2 linked regions of the Coturnix japonica genome follow. The protein of the gene in region 2 purifies or fractionates together with the protein of the main gene of each other region. This does not show direct contact. Links are inferred from orthologs where the notes say so. Each region holds a gene or a part of one and is shown on either strand. Other genes may lie near its edges.

Region 1 (16,359 bases), on a different chromosome or scaffold from region 2:
TGTCTTTAGTATGTTCCAGTCATTTTTTTAAACAACACACTAAAAGTTAATATATATTTTTATAATTATAAAAGTTCCCCAGTTATTGTACAGTACACAATACAAATTGCCCACAAACTATTATTTAGCTCCTGCCAGTTTTGAGAGGACATGATATACTAAAAGATTTAGCATTTCTCACAAAAATCACATCAGGAAATACGTATTTACAAAATCAAATACATTATACAAAAAAACCATCACGTTATTCTGTAAAGATGTCTTCTTTAAATAATTAAAAAGTATATTCAACTGTAGTCCAAAAACTGGAAAAGAACATTACATTATCTCACACATACAATCTACAAAAAGTTGCTTACCTCATTTACATAATATATTCAGTCAACTGGAAAATAAAAGTTTGAATCTATCCTAGTGTTATGATGTTTCTGTGCTGTGGGACTGAATAATGTAATCTGCCACTTACTAAGTGAAATTCAAATGATGGCACTTAAAAAAATACACTATAAAATAAATGCAACGATGGAAGTTTCCTAGAAGGTAAGAAAGCCCTGAGCGATGACAAAATTACTGATTGGTAGCTCTAGAATTAACCTAATTAAAGTTTACCACCTCAGGCACAATTTTCCAAGTTTTTGAAAGGCACTCAAAGTTTCTTTAACAGCCTCATTGGTTATTAACTGTAAATCCAAATTTTGAGTGATGATGAGTGGAGATGGGCAACTTGCTTTGGTACAAAGTGATATATTTCTGGCATCCTTTTAATTGCTTAATTGGGTTGCGTTAAGATGGATATAATGTTTCAATGCAAGGCAAACATGTTAATATTGTATTGAAGAAGACTTCATTTGGGGAACCCTTTAGTATCCTTAAAGCTCTTGGTGACATCAGCGAGTCAAAAAGAACCAAAGTGAGTTCCTGCTAAATACCAATCCATGTGAGGTTGTCTGTCCCTCCAAAGCCTAAACTCCTCTAACAGAGACATTTGTTGTTTCAGAGTAAAATTCATCCAGAACTGAAAACTCTTGTTAAGATTTTTGCACCCAAATCAAGAAAAACGCATAAGGATAGAAAGATCCCGATTTAGATTTAAGTGAGGCTCATTTGATGCTAGTAGTCTTGTTCTGGGCCTTATTTTCTACTGCAAATTTTACCCTTAGTGAGAAATCTTCAAGAACAATTCTTACCAAATATTTAACTACTCAGGGCTTCCAATCCCAAAATGTTAATTTATTTTTTAAAAAGGAAAAGGAAAAAAATAAAGTAATAATAAAACATGATCATATTCAAACTAAGGCATATTTTACTTCCAAAACAAACACTAGGCAGTCACTTTGTAAGTGGCTTTTACTATTTCTCAAGTTAAACTGGTAAATTAAACTCAGGTCTACCGGCACATAAAATCACTAGCAGCAATGATCAAGGCATGCAAACTCAGAAGCATTTACATTAAATTATGAATTAAAAAGTTGTTAAATTAAAACCCTTTGAGTATTGCATTTATGATAATTAATTATGCATGAATTTGCAATAACTGACTAAAAATGTTTACAGCTTACTTGCACTATACTAATGACGTAATTGCATTAAATAACTTAAAATGAGACCTTTTGTTTTTTGCCCTCAGATAGACTTAAATAAGTACAGCTGCACTTCAGTGTTTGCCGACTGATTGATACTGCAAGAAACTAGTAGAAAATTTACAGTACTGTCACTTAGTAAGGTGGCATTTCTCTCTTTAATGTCAAAGAATCTGTACTTGCTACTACAGTCATCCCCTTGCTCTTATGAGCAGTACTTGTACGAACTAAGGGGCTTTTTAACATGTTAAAAGGCTGGTGCAGTTTCTAGGTTGCTGTTAAAATTTTCACATTCAACAAGGGCCATCCCTTGTACCCCTGCAGATGAAGCTGAGTAAAATACCTTCATCTTAGCATTAGTTATTATTGCAGTGACTGAATGTTAGGAGGAGTATAATTAATTGTGTTCTGATTTATGAAAAAGATGTCAGAAAACTGCAGTGTAAACATACCAAATATTCTGTAAATTTTTTCCTTTTTTGCTAAGCCTTCTTTTATTCCTAATGATTCTCTTTTACAATATTGGAATATTCCAATGCTAGCCTACCTAAGGAGATTCTCAAAGAAGGAGAAATATTTTTTTTCCTAAACCTTCATCTTCTAAAGGCATCATATTAGACAACTTCATGTCTGTAGAAACACACTGGATTTTCCTCATGTATTTCCGCATGTATGAAAACAAGGGAGATGAAGAACTATTTTCCATTATACAGTACACATCAATGGCAGTGAATATTTGGCTAAATCTATCGAACCTATCACAAAACCATTCCTGTATAGTATGCAAGTATTTACTTTAGAACTATTAAAAAAAAAACCCAAAAAACAACAAACTACAATGCTATCAATCAGCTATTCTGAAGTGTATGATAAATGATCTAAAATGCTTTATTCCCATCATATGACTTACAATGCTCAAAGGGTTAATGCAAGGCATTACATTAAATTAATTCTCTAATACTAGAAATAAGCACTGCATGTTTATGCTCCTATTCCAGTTTTTTGTTTGTTTGTTTCTCTTAAATCACCAAACAAATTATCAGAGATACTACAATTCCATTTACTGATTTTAAACCATACACACAGAGGATGTCCTGTTAGAGAGACAAGGGCCCAATTTTCAGAAATTCACGCAGTTCTCTCAAACGAATGTTTTAAACTCCAGAATTACCATTGTAGGTCATACTTACGTTACTGATAAATCTCATTTTCCTTCCCTACTTTTATAGCTAAAATTATTACTTTCTTTTTGTAAAGCCATTCTGAACTGAATCCAGTGCGACTCTAGATCTAAAAGGTTTTCTAAACAGTGCAGATATCAATTAGTGATATTCAGAAAGATATCATGTCTCTTATGAAAAAAAAAAAAAGGTGAAAAAAGAGGCTTTAGATATTTCAAAATACCTCGCTTTAAATTAAATTTGTATATATGCCTATACATTCCTGAATGACAGTACACCAGAACATTACCTATTTGTTATTTCTGAACTAAAGGCTGTGATTCTGTAAATCATTATTCTATGGGTAAATAATTTAAAATCTATTTTCCAGCTTTTTAGGGAAGTCTCTTTTAAAAGAAGGTGCTTATAGCATGCTACAGTACATGAGCAAAACACAAAAATAATAACTGAGAACAGAAAAGAAAAACAAAAGCTTCAAAACTGATTTACCATGAAAAAGATGGAAATGTACCAACAAATCATCATAAATGTATAACTTTTGAAAATTGGGCCCTGTGCTTTGAAAAGGTAGTTTAACAATACCCATTCCCCTACACTGTTCACTGTGATATTTGTGCTAACAGGGAAAATGCCTTTAAATCATTATTTTGGATTCCATTCTACATAAACCACTATTAGCCTTCATAACGTCTACCCTGTGGACAAATGCTAAACCTCTCCAGAGCACTGACAACAGACTTCAGAGCTGGTGTGGCAACCACGTGCTGCGCATCATAGATTCTGGACTGAGGTATTCATATCTCTGTAGTTTAATCATTACTAAAAACACAACTATTAAAGATAGCAGAAGTGTGCAAAATGTTTTTCCTGTGTTTAAGATTTCATTAAATGTAAAAACACAAGACCTCCAAACCTGCAACTATACAAACTAGCTTACAGCAACTTAGTTCTTCTAAAAATCTTGTAAGAAGGATGAGAAAAACAAAAACATGTTAAAATTCCGAAAGGTAATCAATTGATAAGCATAGGAATACAGACTCCGTTTAATTTTCTCCATCTGGGATAGTTCCAGTTTGTTTCGATAACTCATCATTTTGTAGAAGCTATGAAATACATTCTATCTTTGTATTAATTTTTCTAATTTTCCTTTTTTCTTTTTTTTTCTTTTTTTTCTTCTTTTTTTCTTTTTTTTTAAATTTTTTTTTCATTTTTTTTATTTTGCACTTTGTGAACAGTGAACAACTGGATGGGAGTGGGAAATTAAAGATTCTCAGGTCCCACATCTTTCAGCAATCTAAATTTACCTATTACAATCATTCTCTTTTCTCAGCAACAACAAATACAACACTAAAATCTGTAACACAATAAGAGAACGCTATCGGGTTTGCCAACACAAAACTGAAAGAAGTACTACAGTATTAAAGAAGTTTAAAATGAAAGAAAAAAGAAAAAAAAGACTTATTTCACTTTATTTTAATTGTAAACATCTTATAATGCACAATGAAGGGAATAAGTATTTATCACAGCTTAGTTTTAGGATTTTTGGTGAAGGGTACAGCTTTGCTGATTTCCAAGGAAAAATCAGGACACACTGAGCAATGTATGTGAGAGCAAAATCTATGAGATTCAGTGCATTTATGAGTGTAGAAGTAATGAATATAAACCTCACGTTCACTTTTTACTGAGGTGAAATCGCTGACATCAAGTAGGATTTATGCAGGATGGGTTCACCTCCCCACTCTTTAAAGGACTTAAGTTTAATTTTGCGCACCAAACAAGTTAGGATGTTTTAGTTGATATGTAGCTGTATTTGGGGCACATGTAATCCATAGCATCTAACTCCTTTGCTATAAATACACCGTTTCTTTCGCTATTCTTCTCCGATTTGGTATATATTACATTAAAGTCATTTTACAGACACCGTAGGTAAGCCAAAATAAAAAAAACCCTAATTTTTTTACCCAGTCGTTTGTATAAAGTTCATTTTTTTGTGCTCTTTCACTTCTTGACTTTTTTTTTTTTTTTGATTATTCGATTCCCTACTTAATGTAACAAATTCATGTGTCTGCATAATGAAATGTTTAGGAATAAAAATTGCAATTAATGTATGCTATATAAACTGTCAATATGAGATCGAGCTGTTAAAATGTAAAATCAGGCTGATACCCCACAAAACATACAAATTGAAAACATGCACTGCATTATGTACCTGCTCATTTATTCATTTTTACTTTTCAAAATTAGAAGTAGACATGGGTCTAAAAATATATATAATCATGCTTGGGACTATGGTCAATCTATCTTGACATCTGAATGTGGTATTAAAGCTAGTTTTGCCTTCCAGATTCCCAAGCAACTTTTATTTGTAATAAAGTGAAATCCAGCTAGAAACGAGAAAAAATAGGTTTATTGTCATTCTAAGAGGGATATTAAAATCATTTAATAATAAAAAATCATTTCATTATTTTGAAGGCTATGTAACCTGTCCTTACTTAGGGAATTTGAAAATGACAGGCACACCTTGTTGAATTAATTTAAGAGTTAAGAATAACAAAAAGTACTAAGTCTTAGCTTCAGTTCTGTTTAAGGCACCATGTAATAGCCGAGGTACAATGATCCCTGATGTACATTCTTAAATGGCAATGGTCCATCTAGCCACCTATTCAAATTCTACACAACTGGGAATAAGTAAAAGTGAGGTGTGCCAGTTACACTGCCTTACCTAATTTTTTGTAAAAATTTAAATCCACTGTAACAACAAAGAAATATTTTTGAAAGGAAAATGATGCAGGTTGCTACATTCCTTGCATTCTATAAATTATCTTTTCTAAGAGCAGCAGATTGAACCACTAATATGAAAAGACCTGGAATAGAAGAAAGTCATCCAAATGGAATATTTTCCTGTATGTCCAGTCCAGCTTAAGTAGCACGTACACTTAAAAATTAACAGTAATAATTAAGTCACTTCTTTTTCAGCTTCAGCTTCTAACAACTATAGTACCACTCAACAGCCAAAAGCACCTGTTCAGCGGCACCACGTTTAGTATCAGTAGTCTTCAAAACAGAGGAACTGGTATGCAAATAATATCTGGAACTGTTGATTTTTAATGAACCTTGCATTCTTAATATGATGGTCAGATTAGGTACGTTTGTTACGTACACAAGATTAGGTACGTTTGTTACGTACACATTATCACATTGTTACAATTCCGCCATTTAAACTTGCTTCTTTCTCACAGAAAGAAACTGGTATATCTTCTCAACTCTTCAACAATATTACAAAAAATCCCCCTGAATACTCACAATTTTATCAAAATAGTGTCTTTTAGTTGTCCACGGAAAAGCACCTTTTATAACAAACTTGATACATCTGTTGTCAAATAAGTATGCCTCCAGTGTAAATCAAAGAAAATAGTTCTTTTGATATTTCACAGAAGTGCATCTATTTAAAAACCTACGTATATGAAATCATCACTATAACCAATAATGAACATTAAAATATTTTTAAAAAACTATGAAAAAAATTAAATTATTATTAAGAGGACAAAAACATTAACATCAAGCTTTGCAAAAATCTTTCTTGCATTTGATTATAAGAAAACTCTTCACATTGAGTGGCCAAGGTAAAATGATCCTGTTTACAAAAAAAAAAATCTTTTCTTGAACAGGCCTGGCAAAATGCTTACACTCATACCATTTCATGACTCCAATAAAATAATGTTCAGTACAGCTGAAATTTGACAACAGTCGATTTTCAGACCTTTTTTCTCTTTTATTTCTTTTTTCCTAATAAACCCAAAGGGCTAATGTAATGATGGGGGGAGAGGGGAAGTTTCACATTAGACTGCAGTATATGTATTTCCAGTAGCACTGCACTGTCTGATAGTCTGAGTAGTTGCAACGATGTGCTCATTATGAATTGGGTTTAGGAGGTTCTGCTGTACTCCACTCTCAAGCACTGGCTGCATGCAGCCCACCTGAAATGCTTGGTTTAGCTCTGTTTTCTCTCTCTTTGCTTGCGGCTCTCCATTTTCATCCATTTCTTCATCTATTTCACTTTCAACTTCGCTGCCTTCATCTGCAGAAAGGGGGAAAAAAAATCCCTTTATTTTGCAAATAATATTTGAAATACAAAGTTATTGGGATGACTAGCAATCTGATAAAGCACAAACTGAAAACTTAAAACTTTAATGGAAAAAGCTAATGATTATATCAAATAGATTAATAGACTCTCATTGTTTTGATCACACCAGTTACATACTATTGATAAAATAAAAAGGAAAAGCAATTACTAATCTGAAAAACAGTATCTAACAAGCAACAATAACTTCCTACTGCAAAATCCTTTTTGTCTTTAAGACCTGATAAACCTTTTGAAGAATTGCTACAGATGGGGAAATGAGTGAAAAGAGGTTGAGACGTGACATGAAATTATACACTCTGTCAGTGTAAAATCTATGTCAAAATATGGCGTGAAGAGCTCATAAGGACCTTATTTCATCCTACCATCTTCTCTGGCATGCTATTTAGCAACTGCATGCAACTCCAACATCTTCATTTAGCAGTGATAAAGATACATAAGACTACTCTTGTCTTTCTTCCCACAGCTGTTCCCTCTTCTTCGTACTACCAGACACAAATTCCAGGCTCAAATGGGAATATTTCCTGTGTAAATGCTAAATATCTTTAAAATAAATTGTTGTTAGCAAACATACCTATGATGTTCTAGTAATTATTATATGCTGCAAATCAATGTATACACAAAACAAACATATGAATTTTATAGCATGATACAGCTCTAAATTCTACTTACTTTGCTCAGAGACACATTAGTTCTACACTGATTTATATACTAGAAAGATTAAAACACTTACCTTTATCCATATTTCCAGGGGACACAGCATTTAAATCACCAAACTGAAAAACAAACAGTGAAAAAACTGAGCACAGTGTATGCAAATAGTTATGTAGTGTCTGTGATGGAGACAGACTGTGCTCCACTGGTTTGAGGCTGGCATGCAAACACATGACCTAAGCTGCAGCCACATCCATCATGCATCAATTCATTTTCCATTCCATCTTGTATTTAGTAAGACAGTTATCACTAAGAAGTGAGCTACTTCTGTGTTGAGTAAGTCAGAAAATGTGACAGACATTTTGAACTATCAATATTTTATCCAAAAGGTCTTTCTAGAATTTCTCAGAGAATCCAGAAGAAAAATGAAGGTATATCTCTAAATGCAGCTATAACATTGCAGATTTACCTGGAAGGCAGATGAAATGCATTTCTGAGGAAAAGTTTACAAACTGGTAACCAGTTTACTTGTATTAAAAAGATATATTTGCAAAAATGTTCATATTCTAGATGTGTAACATTCCTTCCTTTCGTTTCCTGAATCCTCTCTCTTAAATGAAATTAGCAGAGTAGAATGTCATCAATGAATCTCAAAGGAGAATTTTACTTCAGTTATACAGTTCTGACAATAAGTAATGATACCAGCCTTTTTCAGAAAAAGAGTAAAATAAAAGTTACTTAAGGAACAGTAATGCAATGAGCAGCAATACCATCATTTCATGTCCTCACACTTATCCTTATGCTACTTTGGCTTTGTGCAAAGTGTTCACACAGCTATTATTTGTTCACAGCTTTTTATTTGAATAAATCTGATCCAGTTAACTGCAATACTTGGCAGTACTTTTGCTAACACCTGTGCCCAAAGCTGGGCGAAGAGGAAGGCAGGAAAATGAACATGCTAATCTCAGCTGCAACACTAGCTTACACTGTCCTGCAATGTTTGTCAAACTGTGGTCTTAGGTTTCCTCTTATTATTTCTGTCACAGTCATTGAATACAGAAATTCATTAACAAGCATACATTTAATCATAAAATCATAGCATCATAGAATCACAAGGTTGGAAAGATCATCTAGTCCAACCATCCTCCCATTACCGTAACTACAGCAAACCACTAAAGCAGATCTTGTAGCTGAGCTTGTAATGACCATTTGCACCTTCTCTTGTGTATCTCCCACCTCCAAAAGTTTTGTTATTTTTTTCGAATAATATCTCCACCTTCAGTTTACATCAAATAAACAACTACACAGCACCTAAAAACTGATGCACAAACATAAGATGTGTATTAAGAAGGCAAGAATGAAGTAACTGTATGATTTTGAGTATCTTACTGCATATGTAGGGCAGACAAAGGATATATGCTATTAGTGGGTCACTAAGTGGAAACACTGTAATTTAATTTGTCTAAAACCTCATGCCACATGGTAGGAAATCATTTGACAAATATAGTGAGACATGTCCAATTTCTCTTGAAAGTCTGCTACCAATTTACAGTATTTAATGATACCGTTAGTGTATCTTGAAGGAACAACAAAACCTGATGTCAAATCAACATGCAAAGTAACTTCCAAGTTATCTGTAACAAACATCACGCAGTGACTCCCAAATGTGAAAATGTAATAAAGCTGTGCCTTTAAACATCTACTGCATTTTCAAATGTATCCATTTTCCATCACTTTGGAAGTACAATTCTATAATGAAAGTGTATGCATTCTTCAGTATTTCACTCAAAAGGTTAGATGAAGTACTGGAGAAAAGAGGGATGAAATAAACCTCGCCTTGCAGATGCCACAGTCAAGTACAAAGATAGTTCATCATTCTTAAACTGTACAACATCCTACAAATACACATGAAAGTTTACAAAATTTGCAAAGGTATGTACGCAAATTCATCGTTAAATCTATCAAATCTAGTCTCTCACATATTATCTTACCTCTCCCATAACTGCAATAGGTGTCTCTCCTGTGGCCTGAGCAACACGATGTTCTACTAAGTAAAACATGTATTCATCATAAAGCAAGCGGATCAGATGAAAAGAGCCAAAGCTAGCAGCACTGCGCAAGGTTAGATCTCGAATCACCATTGAGCTACTCAAAAATGGAAAGAAAAACAACACTGTGTTATATGTCATTGTCACACAAATGCTTATCCATATAGACATTTCATCTCAAAACCAATATTCCTAAAAACAGCATTATCCACAGTGTCTGACTAATGGTGCCTTTGGAAAGAGGAGTTAAGGAAAAGCGATTATTTGCTTCTCATTTTTTGCAGAAGGTGTTGCAGGCCACCAAGAAATAACTGTGCTTTTTAGTTGTTGTTGTTGTTTTTTTGTTTGTCTTCCATTTTCCTTTGCTTTCCTATCTTCATAACCACCAAGATTTGTGAATATGTAAAACCTAACCTGAAGGAAAACTGCTAAAAACACAAACAAAAACTATACTCAAACTTTCATTTTAGATAAACTAATGTTTAAATAAATTCTGTTGAGCCCACTTCCCAGTAGAAAGGTTTTGATTACCATGATTCTAATAACTCAAAGTTCAAACTAGATTAGAAAAAGATGTCTGTGTATGTATTAGATTGACAAATTCTGGTATCTTTAGCAAGTAGCTGACATAATCATTTTCAAAGAGCCAGCTTTACACTCACAATTGATCCAATAAACAGCTGGTAGGGAATGTTAGCTTGCTTTAATCCACTTTATATTCTGTAAAAAAAGTTTACCTTACCTAATGATCACAGATATTACAGTGTTTTAAAAAATAAAATTAAAAACACTGGATTGTACGGTTATTCAACCCAATGATCCCAAGTTGTGTTTCTAATTCATGACAAAATTCTACCCGCATTCATATGGCCTTCCAAACAGCAAGAGTATTGGTTAAGTCCCTGCCAAGTTCCAAGTGTCCCTGAGTTTGATGTTAACAGTAATTTTCTGGAAAAAAAACCCACCCACATACTTTTGGTGACTTGATGACTCACAGTTTGATGTTGCATCAGTCAAGTTCACTACAGTGAACAATTCAGCAAATAACAGAACAGTTAAAATGTTTTATAAGTATAAATACTACCTGTAGAAAGACCATTTTAACAGAAATTGCCGTGCTGCTTTAGGAAAGCTGGGTCTTCCTTCATATGGTTTCAATGCTTGCATCATTACATTATCAAGCCAGGCAGCCCACTGCTCCAGAGTGCTTTGCTGTTGAAGAGTCATTTTGAAATCTGTTTCTAGCCTCTGAACCATGTTGTCATCACACTGGCACACCCAGGAAGCCTGCTCCTGTTAAAGCAAATAGCAGCCCTTGAAGTAACAGCACATAAACCAAAACACAGAACACAATTCATTCTTAAAGGTTAAAAAATTCTGTGGAGAAAAAGGGCAAAAAATGCTTGTAGGACAAACTAAAAAGCAGTTCTTGTTTTTATGTCTGTCACAATTTTGTTCAAAGAAAGTGGGTGGGAAAAACACAACACTTAAATGTCAAATTCAGAAATAAGAAGAACAATGGAAATGACACAAGCATGTTTTAGTTTGCCCCATTTGTTTTCAGAAGATATCTCTTACTTTCTTTGTTGATAATTTTTCTACTGAAATATATGGGAATTGTCAGTTTTTGCTGGGACTGCTGGCATGCCAATCAGAAATACCAGTTAAGTGGGGGTCTAAAATAATAAAAGAACAAACAAGAAATGAAGTGCAAGGTTCCTCTGGGCATGAAAAAGACAATTTTAGTTATACCATCTTATAAAAGAAAGTTTTGCATATAAACAAGAATTGCTTTATTTGCTGACTGTATGTTACACGAAAGTACAAACTTAACTGCAAAGAAATGGAGAAACATGCTTGCATATAACAATGAACAATTTAATCAGCAATATCAAGATTAAATTAATTTAGTAGGACACTTCAAAAACTAAGAGATAACATGGAGACACATTCAAGACATGCCCTTAAACTTTAGCTATCTTGTGCCATGTTAACACCTCAAGATTAGCAGGCTGTGTCTACATTAACATATGAGCATAATCAACATTTTGCATCTTTGGTCGAGTACACTACCCACTCCTGTTCTTTCATGTTGGTACCAGCGATGTTCCAAGAAGTAGTCTGAGGTAAATTGGAAGAGATTTGAAGGTTCTTGTAAGACATCTTAAGGATTCAGAACCACAGATACTGTTTTCTGCAGTCCTCCCAGTAATGGGAAATAAACAGGTGGTCAGTGAATATTAAGATACTTGAATGTGTGCAAGGGGCAACACAGCTGGTAACAGGACTGGAGGGCATTTTCCTATGAGGAGAGACTAAGGACATTCAGGATGCCCAGCCTGGAGAAAAGGAGGCTGAAAGGACATCAGTGCTCCTTGCAGCTCCTTGAGGACGAAAAGTACTGCGAAACGTACTGGGCTCTACTCACTGGTTATCAGTGTGAGAATGGATGGAAAAAAGCTATGCCACGAGATGTGGTCTAAACACTGGAACAGTCTTCCTGGAGAGGTGGCTGATACACTCTGCATGTCAGTGTTCAAGAGGCATTTGGACAATGCCTTAAAAAATACACCTTAACTTTTAGTTAGTCCTGAAGCAGTCAGCATGACTTGATCCTTCTAAACAAGCTATTTTAATTCTAATGCCACCATTTATAATTTACATATTGTTGCATAATATAACTACATATATTAAAATATATTTATTAAAAAGTACGTGAAAAAAGCATAAAGAATAAAACTGTCACTAGCAAACTGATTTTTATATGTAAAATTATCTCCTCAAAAAAAGACTCTGACACAGAACTGCCAGTCATCCAGAATATTTTACTTTGTTGGGCAAAAGGAAAACAACACTTCAGCAATGGTGTAGAATCATGTGAGAAACCCTTTTTGAAGGCTAACTAGAAACCAGTTCTAACCTTTATTAATCCAATAATGACTCATACACATAAGCAAAGATACTTGGATAAAGCATACTAATTTAATTGTATTTGAATGAATGAAACAGTCTCTACTAAAAACAATGTTGTACATTTAATTGCTTTCAGAGACATTCAGGAGTTGTGTTCCTTTCTGTGACCTAAATGTGCAATATCACTGATGCTATTAATAAGACATTATTTGTGATATAACCATTCAAAGAATGCACAGGCTCTTATGTTTTCAGAGAATCTGGAAACATATGAGTACTTGAAATAAATAAGCACTTGGAAATGGAAAATGGCTCCAAGTTCTTACTTTCCTAAAGTAGATTTGAGCGAATCCTCAAAACATTATTGTGCTTTTTTCCTGAAAGAATAATGACAGCAAATGCAAAAAGTTCAGAATGTTTGGATTATTTTTCAAAGTCTGTTACTTAAAGCTAAATTTTACCTGAACATTGGCAAAATCAACACGGTTAAGATCATTGAGCATCTGGTTGATTTGAGAAGTGTTTTGAAGAACAGCACGAGCTGCTTGAGCCAGGTGGTTTAGAGATGTGTATCTTCGCAGAGTCTGGGCAAAGGCACTTACAGCGGCAACCTATGAAGAAATTAATTTCTTTTAAAATCTTGTACTCTCTATCTGTAGAATAATACACCTTTGATTGTTTACATTCATTTTAATATTCTACATTAATGGCCCATAATATGTGAATTATATTCATGTAACAGGTCAAAAGCATTTTCCTTTTAATCTTTTGACAAAACAGAATTGTTTCTCATTATTTGATGTGATGCTAAACATGAAATTTAGCATTCAAGTTAAAATACTACTGCTTTTATATACTACTGCACACTAGGCTCATCATTGCAAGAATTAAGCCACAATAGTTTTGTCTACCTTGGTTTGTATCATCCTCTGTGGAATATTGTTCATGGCATTTGAAAGCCAACCTTCAAGGCTTTTTGCAAAATTGCGAATGGCTTGGGTCAAGGCACCTGCACATTGAAGAAGAAGAAACAATGAAAAGAAAGCAAAGTACCTGTTTGGAAATGTTTCGCATCTTCAGTACCTTTGTGCTCAATAGTTTGGATCCACCACTTTTACTTACTGGAAGATGAAACAAACTAGGGTTCAAAATGCCTAATTCAGATTCAGATTATGCAATAATGGATTTAGTTTTCTTTTAATGAACAGTTTGAACTTCCTCACCTAATCTGTCAGGAAGCTGATGACAAACAGTATTGCTTTGGGCATTACTGCATAAGAACATCTTTAATTGCAGCAGTTGTTTCCTATACACTTAAAATTCCTATCACAAATTTTTGGTGTTCTACTTCAGTTAAGTACCTCTTTTTAAAGAGCAAGTCTCTGAAAAATTCCTATTATTGGAAAACTGCAGCTTCCTCAAATAGACCTGAAGAAGTGTGAACTACTGTCATGATACTGCTTATTTCCACTGGAACAAAATCCGGTAAGTAGTACTTAAGGATATAATCAACAAGCAAAATATAAGAATATATTCCACTGACAGAAAGTTTAATCATTCAAACAGCTGTAAAATCTTCCTGTGTTTTTTCTTTCATTTATTTATTTATTTATTTATTTATTTATTTATTTATTTATTTCCTTCACTATAGCACCCATAGAACTGATTGGATGGATGACAAGGATTTTGGGAGAAACTGAAGCTTTTGCAGGAATCAGTAGTGCAGTCAAAAGGGGTTTTGAGGGTTACTCTGGAAGTAATGCCTTTGACTTTATAATGTTGGCTGATGACATCAGTGGTAGACATTGGTGATATGAAAGTAGAGGCTGAACATTCACATCAACAATCTATTACATGTTCTGGTTGTGTTGTAGATGGCAGCAGAGGGGCAGTTTGACAAAACGTAGTCTGATATGGAAGTGTGGATGAAGTAAAGGTGTGCCTCTGAATTCATGTGTAAAAATTATACCCATTGACACTCACTGATAATTACTGATCATTTTTGGATGTCAAGCAGTGGACGTGAGCAACATGAGGTGGTGGGTGGTACACTGCAGCAGTGCTGACAGTGATGTGAAAGACAAGCCATGTTCCAGTCATGCATTTATGAGTGCAACATACAGGCTCTTGTTCAACGCTGGTGAAAATGTACAGCTAATGGTGATGACTATGTTGAAAACATTTCTGATAGCTTAAAATTTTCTCTACCAACTAGTGTTACTGTGCTGTTGAAGTTTCCATGAAAAATAATCAGGATGCACTACTTTCAGATCAACCTATGCAGTTATTAAAGAAGGAGGAAACAAAATTTTTCCATAAGGAACTGCAAAAGGAAAAAAAACAAACAAACAAACACAAAAAACCTTATCTCTTGAGTAGTAAAAATCTTGCTTTCTAATACTTACCACTTGCTCACAGACCTAATAGTGTCCACCGAAATAGTTGGGAAAGGAGACAAAAATAAAAACTGCAGTTTTCTAAAAATGAAGGGAGAATCACTGCAGCTGCAAAAATGAAGAGTAAGAACACTAGAAAAAAGGAAACTACACTTACTTCCAAATTATTTCAGCTACATGTGAGAAAAGACTGTAAACTAAAGCCAAGGTTCTGTTTATAGGGCAGAATACCTTCTGGTAGACTAAGGCTGAAAGAATTTATCTTTGAGAAATACTCTTTTTTACTGCTTGAATTATTGATAATCCTTTTATTTAGGGAAACTATTACTAGAAGATCAGTTCACTAAAAATAAGTAATTCATTAGATCTTTTTCAAATTTCTTTGAATTTATACTAGTAGCACATAGAAATTCTATTAGTAACTTACACAAATGACCACAGATTTGGATGCTTAGTTGAACATAATTTGGTGTTACAAAGTATCTCAATAAGGTAAGTATTCTATGGTAATATGTGTTTAGAATTGCAGTATCACAGAATTGCTCAGGTTGGAAAGACCTTAAAGATCAAGTCCAATCACAACCTAACCATAGTACCCTAATTAACAGCCCTCAGCTAAATCATGTCCCTGAGCACCACATCCAAACAGGTTTAAACACATCCAGAGATGGTGACTCAACCACCTCCCCAGGGAGCCTATTCCAGCACTTAAGTGTTTGTCTGTTTTCCCTTGAAGCTTTCACATAGAGAACAGGCTCTTCAGTCCTATCAATTATTCTGCAAACCTCTGATACTTTGTAAATTCTTCCTCAGCTCTTACTAATTAACTATGTTTTCATTTCTTTTATTTCTTACCTACAGAGAAAGAAAATGCAAATTGGAAAGAATAATATAAATACTGTATGAATTACATTTAGTAACTTAAAGAAAGTATTACTGTTGTCACTTCTAATTAACTTACTATTCTTTTCCACCTAGTTATATATTATGAAATTACTTTGACCACTGCAAGGTTAATCTCCCTTAAAAATAAAGACAGAAATGCAGCTCAGATACATGAGCTTTAGCTAGGAAGGAAGTGGATATAGAAGGAATAGAAGGAATAGATATAGTGGAATAGAAGGAATTCTAAGTTTTGAAGAAATGTTCCTTCTTTATAGCTATATTAGATAATCAGGTGTCAGTACTGTATGGTGAATTTCTAATGAATTTTTGAGATATCATGTTAATATATAGAATTTTTCTTACACAAAATCTTTAAGTATGTGTCCAGCCATTGCCAAAAACTCATGTACCTGCATCCTCAAAGCCTTCTTCATGTTGCCAAGAAAAATGAATTATTAACATTGTTAAAATAATTAAAATTATTAAAAACTTTTCAATGAATTACACAGTGAGTTCACTTCAAAGTAAAGGGCTTGAATTAAGTCATATGTAACTAAACAC
Region 2 (17,222 bases):
GCTGTATTCACTCAGACTCTCCCACCACACCCAAGAGTAACTGCATGCCACAACCAAGAGTGCATCAGTTTTGGAACTGATGGGAGATGTTTGTGCAAGACACTATGAAATCAATTCAAGCACTCTATTGCCAGCATGAAAAACCTCAAATAATTCTCAAGTTTCACAGCCCACAGAGATTAAATGGGGGGGGGGGGGTTCACTGTCTGAAAGCAGAATATAAACTGACTAATGAGAATGAGCCATATATACTTCAGTTACTTCCTTTCATCATGGAAAAATTCTTAAGCAGCTTTTAAGGCTGTTTGTCACACTTGCTTGGCACAGTAATCCCCACTCAGAATTAAATCATTGCAGTGGGGGTAGCTCTAGTAGCTGCATGTATGTGAAAGAACAGCCTTCCTGTAACAGGTCCACTAAGTCATTCCAAACCAAAGGAAAAGTCAGTAATAGAATATAAGGATGCAGGTAAACTCTGATGCTGCAAAACAGAAAGGAGATATATTGACTGAAGAAAATATTTTTGTGCTGCTTTTATAGCCCTCTTTGGTCACGTTTAATTAAAAACGGTTTGCTCATTAATCATTCACAAGAGGGAGAAAGTCATAGTTCCTTGCACATTTGTGATATCTGAGCACTAGAGGATTGCAGCTCCAACACCCTGCCCTCAGGCCCTCAGGTGATGACCAGTGGAGAGCACTGACTCAATACAAAACTACAAGGGAACACCACGCAGCTCTGCCCACCTTGATTCCTGCCATTTTCCACCAGCCAGCCAGAGATACGGATGACGTCGTGCAGGACGCTCTCTGGGAGGTGTTCTAGTGCCATCTCCTCCTGTGTGTCCATTTCATCATCTCCACTGATCAGGTCCAGGATGAGGATGGGTGGGACAGGCTTGGTGTGTCGCGTCATCAAGCTGCGGAACTCTGATTCCAAGGACTCTTTTCCCCTCTCAAAGAGGGATTTCTGGCACAAACCAGCAGAGGACAGAACAGGGTTGTTGTAATCAGTCACTCACAAGTCTTTCTGCATGAGATTGCACTTTCTGCAGCGTTTCTAATCACTGTCAAGTACTGCATGCTTCAAACTCCAGTGCCTGTAGCTAAGAGACTTTTAATGACTTAGTTACATATGGAATTGCCTGGGAGTTGCTCAGTATATAAAGCATGAAAAGAACAAAATATCACCAAGCAAAATTGCTGTCGGGCTAGGACAGAAACCAAAGCAATCATTTCTTCAGCTGTGCCCAAACACATTCTTTATCAGGCAGCAAGCCCACCAGCCTCTCACTGCCCACAGAGGGTAAGTGGCAGGGTTATGGCTGTTCCTATCTTACCCATGCAAGCTTCCAGACCTGCGACCTACCACACGGTTCAGCTCCGGGCTGTCTGGATTGTTGTCCTGGAAGTATTCCACTGCTTTCTGGATTTTGTCCATGCAATTCAAGTACTCCTCCAGCCTCCCAGTGGGGCTAAAAATAAAAGCAAAAATAAAAAGGATCAGAAGAAGAAAAAGACAAAGTGTGTGGAGTCAGCGCCTACCTCTGCCCCAAGAACTGACAGGATGAAGCACCCCAGCAAGACCTAGCTACCAAACTCACCCTTCCTTTATGATCTTCTCTGTGTCCTTTGCCACATGGTAGTAACTAATGACATGATCCAAGCAGGACAAGGTTTTTTCCACGTTCTCCTGCAAGCGCTGTAGATTCTCTGTCTGTTTATGGACAGGGATGATCGAGTTCTCCAGCTTCATCAAACGACTTTCAAAGGAGGAAAGGATAGAAACCTACATGTCAAGAGAGAAAAAAAGAGTTGAGGACATCCCTCCACATGAATTCACACTACGGGTTAGTAGCTAGAATAGGGCAATTAGGCACCTTCAGGCCCCACTTCTGTTCCATGGCCCCTTAAGGCAGGCTGTTTAAACTTTCTATGTCCTAATGAATAATGAATAATTACAATACAGGTCACCTGCTGTCAAAGATAGACCATCCTTACATTTGTAAAGCATGCAAAACAGCACTAAGGGAGAGCAAAACTTGACTTGATAGCAAGAAACAAAGCCACTGGAAATGCCTGGAGGTGCCTTAGATAAAAGAGATCAATAAAAACAACCTGGCAGCCACTTTGCTCCATAATACTAAGATGTAAAACAGAGACAACACAAAGGCACATTGTGGCATTAATGTCCTTTTACATTGCAAGTATTTGGCTTTTAAAAGGGTCTGTCACTTCTGAACTGTGGAAAATAAGCCCACAGAGGGTGACTTCACATCATCCCTCCTGGGTCAAAACGCAGCTCTTTCAAGAAGAGAAAGGACAGACTGTAAGGACATGAAGCCTTTGCTTTGCACCCACACCTCCCAAGGAGGGAAAGTATGGGTTGGAAACCAGCCTGTGGGGTGTAAAAGCAAGTGATTTATTACTCTGTATTGCTCAGACAAGTACAACACCACCCTTAAACATGAGTCTACCTAAGGATGAACAGCCCCTGACCCAACATTAAGGCTGCACCTCCAGGAGCTCCTCACCATGTTCTTTGTGAGCTGGTCGCTCTTCTCAAGGCTCTCTTTGATAAAGGACAGCGTTTCTTCTTCCTGCAGTCACGATAAAAAGCAGTTTTCACTTCAGACCATCGAGCATTGAACTCACTATACACCAAACGAGGGTCACACACCCACAGCTGGGAGACCGAGCACAGGGTAGGCCGCACACAGACACCCATGAACCCTGAGGAGACATAACAGGCCCCTGATAGCCGCAGGCCCAACCCCACCTCCAAGCACTGACCCCAGCCCAGCCCCACCTGCTTCAGCTTGTCCTCGATCTCCCTCCTGCGGGCCGACATCTCCTCTGTTGGGATCATGGTGCTGCGGGGCGCCAGGGCCGCGCTCCACACACAAACCCCGCTACCACAACTCACTTCCGGCCGGCCACCACCGCGCCGCCATTTTGGGTGCGGCAAGGCACGTTGCGCATGCGCAGAAAGCCAAAGCGCTATCTAGAGAATGGCTTCCGGCATAGAGGAACCGGAAAGAGGATTGGGGGAGTAACGCGCATGCGCATTGTTGGTCGCCACCTTGGGTGTGGCGTACAGGCTGCGCCGCCATCTTGGGAGGGGCGTGGTGTGTCCTAATATGGCACCCTTTATCTGCCGGGATGGATGTGCAGAGTGACCCCAATGCACTGAAAGACACGAGGGGGTCCCAGCGGCTCCAGGGCGGGCACCTGGAAGGAGACCAGTGGTCCTGCAGGAGGGTTGGGTCCATGGCTGGGCCCAGTCCTGCTCTACTTACTGTATGGCATCACAGAGCACATCCCACCCCCCTGTGCTCTGTCACTGCACTGGGCTCATACAGGGGCTGCCCATAGAAGGAGGAAATGCAGCAGCTCAGTGTGCGCTGCTATTGTGTGCTGCTAGGAAATGCACCCATTGCAGGAAGGGGATGCACGACAGGGAATGCCCCAGTGTGACCCAGCACCCTCTGCTGCTGTCAGACCTGCTGTGTGTGCCATAAACCAAGCACCCCAACCTCCTGCTATAGGGGCTGGACCTGTGTCCCCATCTATCTTCCCCTTATCAGCCCACCCTGTGCTTGGTGAGGCTGAGGCAGCCCAATGGGTCTCTATTCAACAACAGGTGGGTTTTATGATCCACCTTATCACACAGCTGTGTGCCGACCAGCATGAAGGGCAATGTATTCCCACCCCACAGCCCCAAAGTGGCACCACACAGGCAGAGATATGAGCACTGTGACACGGCCCTGCTGCTCCCCTCAGCCACCCTTTGCATCTTGAAAGGCAATAACACAGTTTATATCCCATCCCGCCTGCTGCTGCCGCCTTCCCACCCCGCCAACAATCTCTTTCCGCGCCGAAGCTGCCGCCTGCGGAGGATGAAAGGCAGTGAGTCAGCAGTGCATGGAGGAATGCTGCTCCTTTTGCTCCATGGGAGGGTGTCACCAACGGCCGAGTTGGCACCGTGCTTTGGTTGGGGCTGCTGAGTCCATTTGGCACCGAGCAAAGCTGCTGCGCTGCTCTAAAGCTGCAGGTTGGGATCTGATCAGAACCTGATGGCTCCGTGCTGTTTGGATGCAGCATTCAAATGGCATCGCAGCCCCCTTGCTCAGCAATGGGAGGTTTGGGGTGCTGGGCTCCCAAATACTGCCAAGGAGCAAAGGTGAAGATGAAGCAGCAGAGCTCGGCCCTTGGCTCATTGTAAGGTGGTTGGGATCAGTCCCTAAGGGTTGGCCCCATAAGTCCCCCCCACAACCCCATCCACTAGCCCAGCACAGACACAAGCTGTGCTCTCCCTCCCTCCGGCTTTATTTGCAGAGGGAATTAAGGTCCTGCTGGGAAACCTTCCCCAGTGCTCTGATAGCTGCCCACATAGCCGGCTCTAAATGGCTTTTTGTAAATGAATGATCAGGATTAACGAGGATCCCCTGGCACTGTTTACTTAGTGCTGCCGTTGTGGATGGGGATGGGGTGCACATGGCAGGGACCACCGCAGTGTCCCCTCTCACGTACCCAAGCCCTTCAGTTCCCAGTCTAAGGAGAAAAGGAGGTTCTGGGCCAGGTTTGGGGCAGTGCACACCGTGAGCATCAGTCCTGGCACGGGCTGATGGTGCCGTATTTCATGCTCTGGGGCCAGGATGGGGACGATGCTCATTTTCTCCCTACGCCACGTTTCTGGGGAAGGCGGGGGGTGTTTGCTGTGTGGGTCAGCAGCTCCACACACCATGGGGCTGAGGAGGAGGTGTGGGGCAGCAGCCAGAGCCACCCCCTCAGCTGGAATGTGCTCTGTGAGCCCTAAGAGCCACCTGGCAGGAGGAGAGCACAGCAATCAATAGGGTCTGCAGAGCCCCGTGCCCAGGGATCCTCTTACATTGCCCTTGTAGGGTTCTGCCTCCACTCACTGCACTCTCATGGGCTATGCAGCCGCCTTACCCCGACCTTTGGCTGTTTGCACATTCCTGCCTGTTAATGTGTCTCCTAACCAAAAGCCAGTGAGACAGAGCATGGCATCCCTATGCTGTTCTCCTCATTCCCTGCCTGGAAATCCACACCTACAGCCCAGCAGCCACCACCCTGCACCCCAGCATCCCACCCCCTCTGAATAGGGGGGCTCCCCATGCAGATGGCAACTGCCAGCCAAAGAAACCGGGTGCTGTTTGGGAGCAGAGCCACGGCTCCTGCAGGCTGCCAGGCTGGCACACCTCCCACCAGCATCACGCCAGGCCAAATTCTTTGTGATTCCTGGGTTAACTCGTAAAGCCAGTGCCCCCAACCCCATGCATGGGACAGGAGCATCCCACGGGACAGGAGCATCCCATGGGACCCACCACCCCACATTAAGCCCATGCACCCAAAGGACCCCCCCCCTCCTCCACACCCACCCTGGGCATGCTTGGAGGAGCAGGAAGGGCCACACGCCCCACGTCTCCTTGTGACAGCGGTGACGCAGGGACCATTGCCTGCGGTCTGGGGAGTGCTGGGCAAGCTGCAGCCTGCCCCATTGTGCCGGCCCTGCCGTGGGGAACGGCTGCTGGCAATGACCCATTGAGCCCAAGAGCATCCCAGGGCATGGAACAAGGCAGGGAGCTGTGCTGTGCTGGGGGGGTGCAGGAGAGGTGGGTCCCCATCAGGGACCTAACACAGCTTTCCCATCATTCTGCCCCTGCTGGCTTTGCTCTGACAGCTCCATACATTTGGGTCCCAAATCAGGACCACAGGAACCCCCCCAACGCCACCCCCCTGGTACTACCACCCCCTGCATCCTCCAACCTGCCCCATACCATCCCCACCCCATTGCCACAGTGTCCTGCGAGCCCTCACCCACCTAAACCCCTAAGGGCACATATGGGAACCCATTTGTTTTCCCAAACTTTGGAGGTTCTCTCATTGCTATGCAATGCGAGTCCATCCCCTGCCCTCCTCCATCCTTACCTCCCCCTTCTCCCCACACGGCTCCAACCCATCCCAGCCTGGGATCCTAAAACAGGCCCGTTTGTTTTGATTTTACCCCTCCAAGAGGGAGGAAAAAGTAAAAAGAAAACATGAATAAAACCCAATTTGGGGGCAGGGAAGGACCCGAACCCAGAGCAGGAAACAAAAGGCGATGGGATTTGCATTTCCACCCGGCTCAGAGATGGCCCCAATCTCGGGGCTGTTTATTCTAGCCGTAAGATTTTCAATATTTGGGATGATTAGCAAGTGAAAGCCGGCTGTTGCCAGCATGGCTCCTTGCCAGCCTTGAGCTCAATGGAGGAGAAAGAAAGACACAAGAAAAGCAGAGACAAGAAGGGGCTGTGTGTTATATTTACCCCCCTCTCTTTGCAAAGCAGAGATTGGGGTTGAGGTGTTGGGTGGATGATGGATGAGGGGTGGAGGGGGTAGAAGAGAAACCACTGATAGAGGCGTTATGGCCGCGGGTTTAACAAGCCAAAGGTTATTGGGGCAGAGGAGGGAGCAGGATGCTTCCCATCCGCATGGCAGGCCCAGGCAGGTCTGCTTTCAGGAACCAAACAAAACGGGGTTGTTTTGGGGCCTTGCCTGGTGCCTCCTTTATTGCTCACCCTTGTTTTGTTCCCCTTGGCTGGCAGCAATGCTGGCTGCTGGCAGCGCCTGTGCAGGGGTGGGTGCCCGGGGTGCTGCTTTTTGCAGGGGGTGAAGCAGAAATGTGGGCTTTTTGCCAGCAAAAGAAGCAGTGAAGCATAGGAGCAGCGAGGGGCTGCTGGCTTTTCCCAGCCCTGCTAATAACGCCCTTAAAATGGAGAAATAAGAGAGCAGAGCCCACGTGCTGACAACAGGGAACGGGACAGGAGGAGATACACTGTTAAGATTTCCAACCGCTGAATCGTGGAAGGTTTATTTCCAGCCTATGTGATCCCATCTTCCCAACCATCAACACAACTAAATCCTATTGCTGACCCATGTCCTTCAGTGCTACATCCTCACATCTCTTTAACACCCCCACATTCACACTCCACCACCCCCCCAGCCCATTCCAACCCCTGACCACCCCCAGCCCCTCATTTCTCCTTTAGGATTTCATACTTACCCAGGCCAAAAGGAGACCCAGTCCCTACCTCTGGGAGCCCCCCTACCCTCCCAGCACCAAGCAGAACCACCTCCAGCATCAAGCTGAGCCCAGCCCTTCTCTTTTGGGCTGAGATTGCCCAGATTGAGAGCAGCTGTGACTGTGAGCACCTGCTGCTGCTGCAGTGCCCACCCAGTCCTTAAGGCACAGGGGCTGGGATGCCCTGGTGCAGGTGAGGGAGGGTCTAGAGGTGCTCAGAATTGAGCAGAATCCCCTCCCTCTCCCCACCATCCCACTATACAGGTATGGGTCCCCCCAGTCCATCCACCCCCACATATAGCTCCGTGTATGGCTCCCCAAGCACACAGACCCCCCCACCACTTGCTTTGCAGCCGCTGCTTTGCTTTGCTGCTCTTGCAGAGCCTGAGCTGCTCCTCAGTGTAATTGGCCCCACGAGGGTTGGTCTATTCCTGCAGAGCTGTGCAGCTCCTCTCACCACCCCACACCCACGAGGGCTCACAACCCGCTCGTGTTCCTACAGGGCAAGACAGGGACAACCACCCCCCAGGAGCAGAGAAAGAGGCTCCAGGGCTTGGGAGCAGCTCCCAGTGTCCCCAAGCCAGCAGGACCCCCTGATGTGAAAGTGGTGCCGTGCATGAGGTCTGTGCCTCAGTTTCCCTATGGGGAATTGCTGAGCCCACTTAGAGGTGGAGAGCAGGACTGGGATGGTGATACTCAGCCCCATGCAGGAGAGGCTCAGATACAGCCAGGCAGTGCTGCAGGGAAACAAGGAATCAAAAGGCTTTTTTTTTAACCTATTTTTTCTTTTCCTTTTTAATTTGTAAATAACTCTCCATGAGAAAGGTTAGAATTGCACTCATCACTTTGCATTCGTTCACTGCAGCCCAGGAAAAGATTAAAACAACAGATGAAAAGGAGCATCACCCAGACAACTACATACATCTCCACCAGCCCCCTGGCTGCGTGGTGGCATCTCAGCAGGCTTCAGCTCCTGGCCCAGCCCCACTGAAGCTGTGGGGTATCAGGGAGCCTTGGTGCCCGCTCCACCCCCCCATTACCCATTGCAAATCACACCAAGGCTGTTTCTGGTTTTATTTTTCAAGGCTGGTTTATTGAGTCTAGTGCTACAGCTGTACTCCTGCTATGTAACTCACAACAACAATCCTAAGTGCTTCTGCAACCAAAGAAGAAAGTCTTTACATTTCTCCCATTTCTTTCTTTTTGGTGAGTCTAAGACACACAGCACTGATACTACAGCTTTTCCTTACTCCTACTCAGCAGCTACATCACCCAAAACCCCCCGTGGGGGACGAGGAGCAGAGGAATCCAAGGGCTTTGGGTCGAGTTTCGGCACAGTTTGGCTACAGGAACAGTGGTGACGTTGACATGGAGTTGGGTGACCCAATGCTGATCAAAGCCACTGTGCAGGTTTCGGTTTGCAGGACGACTACCATAAGCCCAAGTACAAAACAACCCCCCAAGCTACATTTCCCCTATCCCACTCTGAAAAGAAAAGTCCTAATGCTAAAAAATAGAGGTTTCTTTGAATATATAATATATAATAGATTATATAAAAACATCTAAAGAGGCAGACTGAATTTACGGATCTTTCCTTCTTCCCCAGGCACACAAGTCAGGAGGGAGGTTGAACTTGGAGAATCCAGAGGGGACTCTGTTTGCCTGCTAACTAATTAGCTACACCTACAAACGAACCCGGACAGAAAGAGAAAGAATAAGAGAAAGAAGAAGAAGGAGTGAGAAGATTGCACGTAGTCTATGGAGTCCGAAGCCACCAGGAATCTTGTCTGTTGGGTCTGCAGAGCAGGCCTGAATGCCGTGTCCATTTCCATGCAAGGGAAAAGAAATGGTAATTTACATTTTGTTCCTTAAAAAGTAAAAAAATAAGTACTGTTCTACCTCTTCTCTCGAGGAAACTCGTGGACCTCAGACTTCTGGTGTGTCCTTTGAAGGTATTTCAAGCAATTTTTGTGTTGCTGTGTTCTCCCCATTGGTGTGTCTATGAATAACCACGAAGCTGATCAAGCTGCTGCAGGAGTCTGTCCATAGAAAATATTGTCCATTGCAAGTTCCAGCAGCAGAAAGGGAGCATCCTCCCATAGCCCCCGTGGGTTTGGTTCGCTCCTTTGCTTATAGAAAGGATCCCACAGCGCTCCATTCATCGATGTCCGCGGGCAGCGAGGTGTCACCCAGCTCAAACAGCTGCTCCATGCTGACGGAGCCGGACAGGTACTCACTGCCATCTTCATCCCAGGGATGCTGCAGGAAGGAGGTGGCCATGAAGGTCTCATCAAAGTCCAGGTTGTTGGGGTTGGGCTCGGAGAGGGGCTGCTCGGGCCCAGCCACGCACCACTCCTGTGCACTGTCATGGTACCCGTGGCCTGTCAGGTCAACATCACGCCCAATGGGGCTGATGGGTGGTGTGAGCTCCAGCTCCTCAAACGTGGCGAAATCTCCATTGAGGTTGGTGTCGAAGACGACCTCCCAGTCGAAGTTGCCCTTCAGTGAGCCCAGCTCTGTCTGCTCCTCCTGGGTGAGCAGGGCTGTGTTGAGCAGCCGGGCTGCCTTGGCTGTGCGTTTAGGTAAGGGCTGCTTGCGCTTGCGGCCGCTCTTCCCATCCCAGCTCTGCTCACCAGTGACCTCTTCAAACTCTTTCAACAGCTGCTGGGACTCTGTGTTGACGTTGAGGACGTTGCCATTGGCACAGCTGGAAGGCACTGGTCCAGTCATACCACTTGCTTGGTGCTGGGCCCTGTTGGTGAAGGCTGGGTGGATCTGCACCGGGGGCATCCTCCGCTTCTTGAAGGCCCCGTTCATCAGCCGGTCGGCGTATTGAGGGTCTATCTTCCAAAAGCCGCCTTTCCCTGGTTCATCCTTCTCACGGGGCACTTTAATGAAGCACTTGTTCAAGGAGAGGTTGTGCCGGATGGAGTTCTAAACCCAAAAGAGAAAAGAGAGAGGTTGAGCGTTGCCTTCTGCACTTACCTGTATGGGTATAAGGTCATCAGCTGGGATCCTGGGGGTAAATAAGGCAGAAATGGCACTGTTATGACATCTAGTCCATGTGCCCAACAGGAACTTCCCTCTTTGGGTTTCCAGTGTGTCATTTCCCTTCCTCACAGCCAGCCAAGAAGCAGCAGGAGACAAGGGTTTGAGATAGGACCTGCCAGCCATCAGGAAACACTTGGGAAACTCTCCTTGGATGTAAAGTGGGGCCACAGGGCTTGAGAATTGGGAGAAACAGGCCAGACCCACTGGAGGAGCTCCAGTTCTGCATAGAGGGTGAGGTGGGACTCACTCCAATGTCCCCATGGCCAAAACAGGGCAGCACCATGGGGTTGGCATCACCCGTCCCTGTACCCCCAAAGGTCATTTGTGCCAATTGTTAGGGGCAAGGGGAGGTGGGCAAAGCCATCCTGGGCTATCTGCCCCTACGGGTGCCTCCTGGCCCAGGATGTGTGAATTCACCACATCTTCATCAGCCACAGCACAAAGTAGCTGGAAAGAAAAAAGAAAAAGAGGAGTTTCTGCTCCTGTTGAGCTGTTCTGAAGCCCTGAATGTGCCTCGAGTGATGTGAATAATCAGAAAGGAAACTCAGTTATCGGGTAAATAACACAGCGTTGGGCTCCACAAAGCCAAGCCCGTATTAAGAGATTGGATATGGTAGAGAGCTTTTTTTTCCCCCTTTTTTCCTTTAATGTTGCCTGGATATCTTTATGCTTATTCATCCATAATCCGTAGTGCCGAGTAGGAAAAACAAGGCTTGAATGCTCAGAGCTGTTGAAAAACACACACACACACACATAGGCACACACACAACAAAACCCAGAGCTGGGCTAGAGCTCCTTGGGCGCGCTGGCTCCCCTCCAAAGCACTCAGCTCCCACAGGAATAGATCCATCTCCCCCCCGAGGACGGGTGGGATGACCTTTAGAGGCTGTGTGTTCATAGGGGAGTTGGGGTAGGGGAGGAGAAAATGGGCTTGGAAAGAAAAAAAGGTGGGGGGGGAGTAGGGGGAAAGAGGGAAAAAAAGAGAAGGGGGGGGATAAAGAGAAAGAAAGGGAAAAAGAGGATAAAAAAGGGAGTGGGGGGGGAAGAAAGGAAGAGAAAGAAGGAAAAAAATGAAAACAAAGAGAAAGGAAGAAGAAAAAGGGAGAGAAAAGGGGAATCACAGACATCCCCACCAACATTCCAGGCTGCAGCGATTCCAAGCTGACCATTTAATGACATTTTATGAGGGTCAGAGCTTTGTGGGTTGAATTCTGGGCTCCCCATCTCCCCTCCCCATCCCACATCTCATTCAGCCCTCGTTACATGGACATATTTATCATTCCTCCCTGCCACAATCCTGCCACCCCCCCTGCGTGTCTGTGGGGAGGGATTGAAAACCCTTCTTTCTTTCTTTTTTTTTAATAAACACATTTAATTAAAACCATGGTGATTAGCCAGCCAGGAGCTTGCAGGGCAAAGTCAACATGCTGGCACAGTGCTGCTCCCACCCCCCATCAATAAAAGACCCCCACCAGCGATGCACAGTGCCCCAATGTTCCCATCTGCCAAAGCTGTGCTGCAATATGGGGTGGCCCTTAGCACAGAGCAGTGCAGGGAGGATCTGGGGGGGCAGGTGCAATCCTGGAGGATAAAGGGGTTCCCTGCCCCAGGATGGGCTTTGGGAGCTGCTGGAGATGAGGGCAGCCTGGGGGGTCTGCAGTGTCTTTGTGCTGCCCAGTGCTGTAAATTGGGTGTGGGAATTAATTGGGATCCTTGGAGGTTCTCCCCATCCTGAAAGCCTCACAGTGACATTGCATGGAGGGGACTGGGAAAAACCCCAGGTTTGGAGCTGCTGAGGGCTGTCCCCTACCTCTGGGGATGGGTTCATTTGAGATATGGGACAGCCCAGCCTCTGGGGCCTCACATCTCATCACAGCAATGGGGTCTCCTTGGCCTCTCCAAGAGCCTCCCCTCCACCCTGTTTGCAGAGCTGCAGTGTTTCTGCTCCGAGCTTCCTCAAGTTGGGATTTATCCAACGTGCAGCATCACCCCGTGAGCCCTCCCCATCCCTCCCCTTGATTTGGGGGTTTCACACACACTGAGCTCCATATGGGGGCTGCAGAAAGGTGGAGCTGGGGACAGAGACATCCACATACCAGAACCGAGCACGCACCTCCCCGCTCCTAAAATGGCCCTGGGCTCTCCCCTGTAATGGCTCCTTCCCTCTGCCATCCCTGCACACACAATCCCTGTCCCAAAGCCACTTCATTCTCCCTCCCTCTCCCATCAGTACCTCCATCCCTGTGCAAACCACAAACCCCACAGGGACCAATCCCCTTCCCCCCACATCCCAAACCCTCAGACCCCAAAGCACCCACCTGCCAGGTGGGGTCGGCGTGTCGGAAGTAGCAGAAGTTATCAGTAATCCATTTGTAGATGGCAGAGAGGGTGATTTTGGTCTTCTTGCTGGCTTCCATTGCCATGCAGATGAGGGTGGCGTAGGAGTAGGGCGGCTTGACGTGCGGGTTGGTCTTGTAGTCGATGTCCTCAGGTGGCTGTGTGTGCAAACCCAGGTGTGCTGACCTCGAGGTGGAGGAGGAGGTGGGCTTGCCGGGGGTGTGGGGCATCCCCATACATGCTGGGTCAGCAGCCAGGGGGGAACACGGAGCGGCAAAGCCGGGGATGTGATGGCAATCGTGAGGATCGGGGCCGCTGGGGCACGAGGAGGATTTGCCCACGTTGGCGTTGATGATGGAGAATTCCTGCAGCCATTGCAGGCTGGTCAGGCTGTCGTCCAGGTTGCTCGAGTCCCCCATGCCGCCCTGCTGCCCCTCTGCTGCCCGCAGGCTCAGCCAGCCCTCAGCCATCCCTGGGCTCTGCTGCGGCTCCAGCATCCACGGGGAGCAGCGCCGGGAGGGGACGGGACGCTCCTGCAGTGACATAAGGGGGGGGATAAGGGGGTCAGGTTCCCCGAGGTGCAGCTGCTCTCGGCAGCCTAAACCCCCCAAACAACCGCTAAGAACCTGAACCCACCCTGAGAGCGAGCGGACGGGCTCAGGCTTCAGACATCCTTGCTGGGTTGATGTTCAGCCCCCAGCGTGGCCATGGAGCCGTCACCCAACGCCACCCGGTGTCACCCGGGGATGGGGCGGCCCCTGAGCCGGCCTGGGCACTGGCAGCCCATGGGCAGCAGCCGTTGGGCTGGGGGTTCCACCATTCAAATGATGCCCCCCAACAGTCGGGGGGTCCAAAGGGGGGGGGGGGGGGGGGGAAGGGAGGGGGAGGGAGGGGCACTAAACCCTTTGCCCTGCTGCCTAAAAAGGAGCAAACCCCCCCCCCCAATAGTGGGCTCAGCACAGAGAGCCCCCCAGCTCCTGCAGCCAGGAGGGGCTTGCGCATGAAACAGCAATGAATGCCCCCCGCTCCGTGCGCCAACCGCGCGGCCCCGATGGCCGATGCCACCTTCACCCCCCCACTGTGACCGCCCCATAGCTCCATCCCCGCCCCCCACTCACACCCCATCACCCCCCTTACCCCGTCCCAACGACGTCCCCCCCGGCTCCCAAAGTTGACGGCAGAGCAGGAAGCTTCTGGAAACGGCAACCAGGAACAGAACCAAACCCAAACAACCCCGGGCCCGGTCCGTAGGGCAGGTTGATTGGGGGGGGCTCCTCTATTCCCCCTTAGGGTCGACTCGTGCCCCCGGCGCTGCCCGCCCCGCCGCCGTGATTTGCCGGCAGCGCAGCGCCCGCCATTAAGTAGCGGCTCCGCGAGGCTTCCCTCGTTGCCGCGGTGACGCTCCGCCCTATAAACAGCTTCGAGTCTTCTGGTTGGTTGTATCGTTGCCACGGAGAAGAGCTGTTAGTGGCTGTTATGGGGGGTGGGCTTAGGGCGCCCCATTGGTATCAAACATCTCCATCCCAGCCGGGCTCTGGGATAAAGCAGAGGGGAAAGGTGCCGGTTTGGGGTCGTACACTGAGCCCTGAGACGCCGCCCGCCTTCATACAGCGACTGCGGACACTGTGATGGACGTAAGATAAACCTTTATTAACAGTACTCTTGGACCCCATCACATGCTGGAAGCAGAGTCGGAAGCAGCGATCTGGGTGTTTGTTCTCTCTTCAATATCCCTGATGGGGGGCGGAGGGAGAATGGGGGGGGGGGGTGTGCAGCCAGGAAAGCCCACTGCTCACCTGCCAGGACCCTCCGGAGCAATGGCTGCCTGCAACCCCCCCATAAGTCACATGTGTTGGGATGCTGAGGTCCCCAGAGTTGTATGGCTGCATCCCTGCACCTCTCTGGACCCCTAACCCATGTGTGCAGCCCAGCACTGGCTGCAGGAGATGGGGATGGAGGGGGGGGGTTGCAGCTCCCATCCCCTTTGTCCACCCCTGCTTCTCAGTGTGATGTTAAGATTGGGCTGGGTGACTGGGTGACACTTTGGCACTTGTTCCAGGCAGAGGGCACAGCCCCGAGCTCGTAGTGTGGTGGAAGACAGTGAAGTTCAGCTGGTGATGGCCCCATCCCTGCACACAAAGCCACCCTATGGGAACCCACACGCTGCCCCAGGAGGAGAGAGGGGATGGGGGAGAGCTCCATCACCACCGGTGGGGGCATCCCATGGCACGGCATGGGGACGTGTCAGCATCCCGGGGGGGTCCAGCCTCCCACCACGGTCACCAGAGTGAACCTTGGCTGCCAATGCTGACACTGATCCTTCACACACAACTGTGGGCACTTCTGTGCCATCGTTCCCCTCTGGCCAATACCCCGAGACCCCACATAGGGCAGGAGGAAGGACCCCAGCCCAACCTTGGTGTGTAAAAGGGAAGGTGCTGATGGAGGGGTTTGGAGGTGACACCCGGCCGTCCTGCAGTGGGGGACAGGGGGGAAAATTCGAGGTTACCATCATTCCAATGGCCGGAGGTGGAGGTGGCAGTGCCTGGGACTCTCTGTGTATGGCAGGGGGCTGCATGTCCCCCAGGCTGAGCCCACCCATGGGCAGTGCTCCCATGGCTGCTGCCTGCTCCGGGTGGCTGGTGCCGGGGGGAGCACAGAGCCACACATTGGTGTTGGCTGCCTCTGGGCCTGGGAGAGAAAACAGGGGGTTAGAGGCTGATCACCTGGAGCTGCACCCCAACACCCCCAGGGGAGTGGAGACCCTCTGTGCTGGGGGACACGGTGCTGCCAATGTGGGCAGTGTAGTTGGAAACCCCAAATCTTTGTTCCCATGCTGGAATATTGCATCAGATAGGGGTTTCCCTTTTAGCACCATGAGGTGGCCTCTTTGTAGGGTGAGATGTGGGTTCCCTGACATGGAATAGGGCAAAGGGGGAGGCACTGTGCAGCCTGGTTGGGTTTTAACAACCCAAACATCTCCCCTGCTCCCTCATCCCACTAAGGGATGTCACCCGGGGCGCGTGGGTACCGCCAGCTCTCATACCTATTCCTCAATGTCAATGGGGCAGGAGTCCGGAACTGCAGCTATATGGCAGGGAGAGACCAGAAGGTACACGGTGAGTGTGAGAGGCACAGCATCGCAGCACGCAGGAGCACGAGGGGCTGGCAATAGGGCTGCTCCCCTATGGGATGGTGTGGGATAAGGAGGCACTGCTGACAGGCACTGCAGGTGTTACAGATGGTGATCCCAGGGCTTCGTGCTGAGGACGATGGAGCCCCTCTGCTCATGGATAGGCAGAGCTTGGGATGTGCTCACCACCACCTACACCACAATGGGCAGCGTTGGTGCTGCTGGAGGGGGGGGCACCCACAAAGCACATCATGGTGAGGTTCAGCCCCACACCCAAGGCAGTTCTGAGTCCCAGGGGCTGTGTGGGGGCAGCCTGAGGCTAAAGGGAGAGCACTGAGGCTTTGTCAGAGGGAATAACCACGTCCCCACTGAGTGCTGATATGGGAGGTGACGGCTGTGATTCTCAATGGCTGGAGCTGAAGAATGAGGCAAGGCTGCAGATCCTGGAAGGTAATTAAAGACCACACACACAGGCACATGCAGCCATCGCATTAAGGGCTCCATACTGAATAAGTCACTCTGGTGCCTCTGTACCAATGCGGGGCCTCCTGGAAAGGTTCCCAAGGGACAATGCCAGGAGCAGGGTGTGGGGTCACAGCCACCCACCCATACCCACTGTGCCTCATCCCAGCAGAGGCTGCAGCCTGAGGATGCTCTGCCCCAGGGAACCCTACTAGGGACACAGCTCAGTGGGTTTTGCTCAAACACTGCATCCTAAGCCCTCAGGACGCAGCATTTTGACTCTTCCCAAAGCATTTACCCACCAGATATCTGAAATCTGGAAAGATCTCAGAGCAGCACTAGGGACTGACGAGTATTTCCACATCGATAAGCCACGTCCTGCACCTTCATTCATTATAGAGAGAGCTAAAAACAACCCATGGATCTAATCACAGCTAAACCAGTCTCTAAACCCTCTCTGGTCACAACAATACTAAGCTTTCAAGATACTCCATAGAAAAACTCCTTGTTTTTGTGTCTGTCCTGTGGATGTGCTCACATCTGAGCCTGCCAGAGTCAGTTCACAGCCCTGGTTCACTGCTAAAAGCCTTCAACCTCTGCCAAAGCTCTGACACTTAGTGCACCCAAACCAGCCCAGCACCTCCACCATGCAGGGAGCATGTTGCGTTCTCCAAACCCTCAAGGCAGAGCCCCTGCCTTCCCTTCATGCCAACAGCTGTGCTCCCATCCCCACTGCCATCCAGGCAGCCCCTTCCCCACTCTCCCCCCATCAGCCCCAGAGGCAATGCCTACAGAGGGTTCGCAAGCAGAGCAGCCACCAGGCAAACGCAAGGACCAAAGGATGGAGACCTCATCCTTCACTGCCAGAGCATCTCTGCGGCTGCTTGGGCTGCAAAGCTCTCCATCCCTCGGCACAACGGAGGGGGATGCGCTTGGGCACCAAAAGGGGCACCTGAGGGATGCCAGGTGCTGCTGGGGGGGGGGTATGGGGCAGCTGTGGCAAGTGCCTGTTCCTCTGCAAGAGCCTCGCTGTGTTTCTCCCAAGCAGAAACCACCAGGAACAGGGCAGCCGGGAGGTGAGGCAGTGGTGTAGGAAGCTTTCCCAAAGGGAATGGGGAAGGAAAGGTGTTCCCCACCCAGTGGGGCCAGGCAGTTC

The links.
Region 1: the proteins of FOXJ1 (region 2) and RFX3 purify together in Homo sapiens (affinity purification with mass spectrometry; 3 studies listed by BioGRID and IntAct, counting the BioPlex papers as one, with this or other methods). This does not show direct contact. The link is inferred for Coturnix japonica from reciprocal best matches to the Homo sapiens genes FOXJ1 and RFX3.

The regions. Positions count from the first base shown.
Region 1 is NC_029547.1:24,261,486-24,277,844, forward strand, and holds the end of RFX3 (transcription factor RFX3), read right to left. Parts: intron 13,527-16,359; coding exon 13,429-13,526; intron 13,129-13,428; coding exon 12,979-13,128; intron 10,898-12,978; coding exon 10,689-10,897; intron 9,702-10,688; coding exon 9,548-9,701; intron 7,679-9,547; coding exon 7,636-7,678; intron 6,840-7,635; coding exon 6,601-6,839; 3' UTR 4,756-6,600; downstream 1-4,755. UniProt on the Homo sapiens protein: Transcription factor required for ciliogenesis and islet cell differentiation during endocrine pancreas development. Essential for the differentiation of nodal monocilia and left-right asymmetry specification during embryogenesis.
Region 2 is NC_029533.1:3,905,848-3,923,069, reverse strand, and holds FOXJ1 (forkhead box protein J1), read right to left. Parts: upstream 13,871-17,222; 5' UTR 13,609-13,870; intron 13,246-13,608; exon of another isoform or gene 13,108-13,245; intron 13,005-13,107; 5' UTR 12,969-13,004; coding exon 12,453-12,968; intron 10,018-12,452; coding exon 9,214-10,017; 3' UTR 8,284-9,213; downstream 1-8,283. Other genes in the region: EXOC7 (exocyst complex component 7), read right to left, coding at 747-969, 1,369-1,474, 1,604-1,788, 2,534-2,599, 2,809-2,868; E3 ubiquitin ligase RNF157, read right to left, coding at 15,518-15,558. UniProt on the Homo sapiens protein: Transcription factor specifically required for the formation of motile cilia. Acts by activating transcription of genes that mediate assembly of motile cilia, such as CFAP157.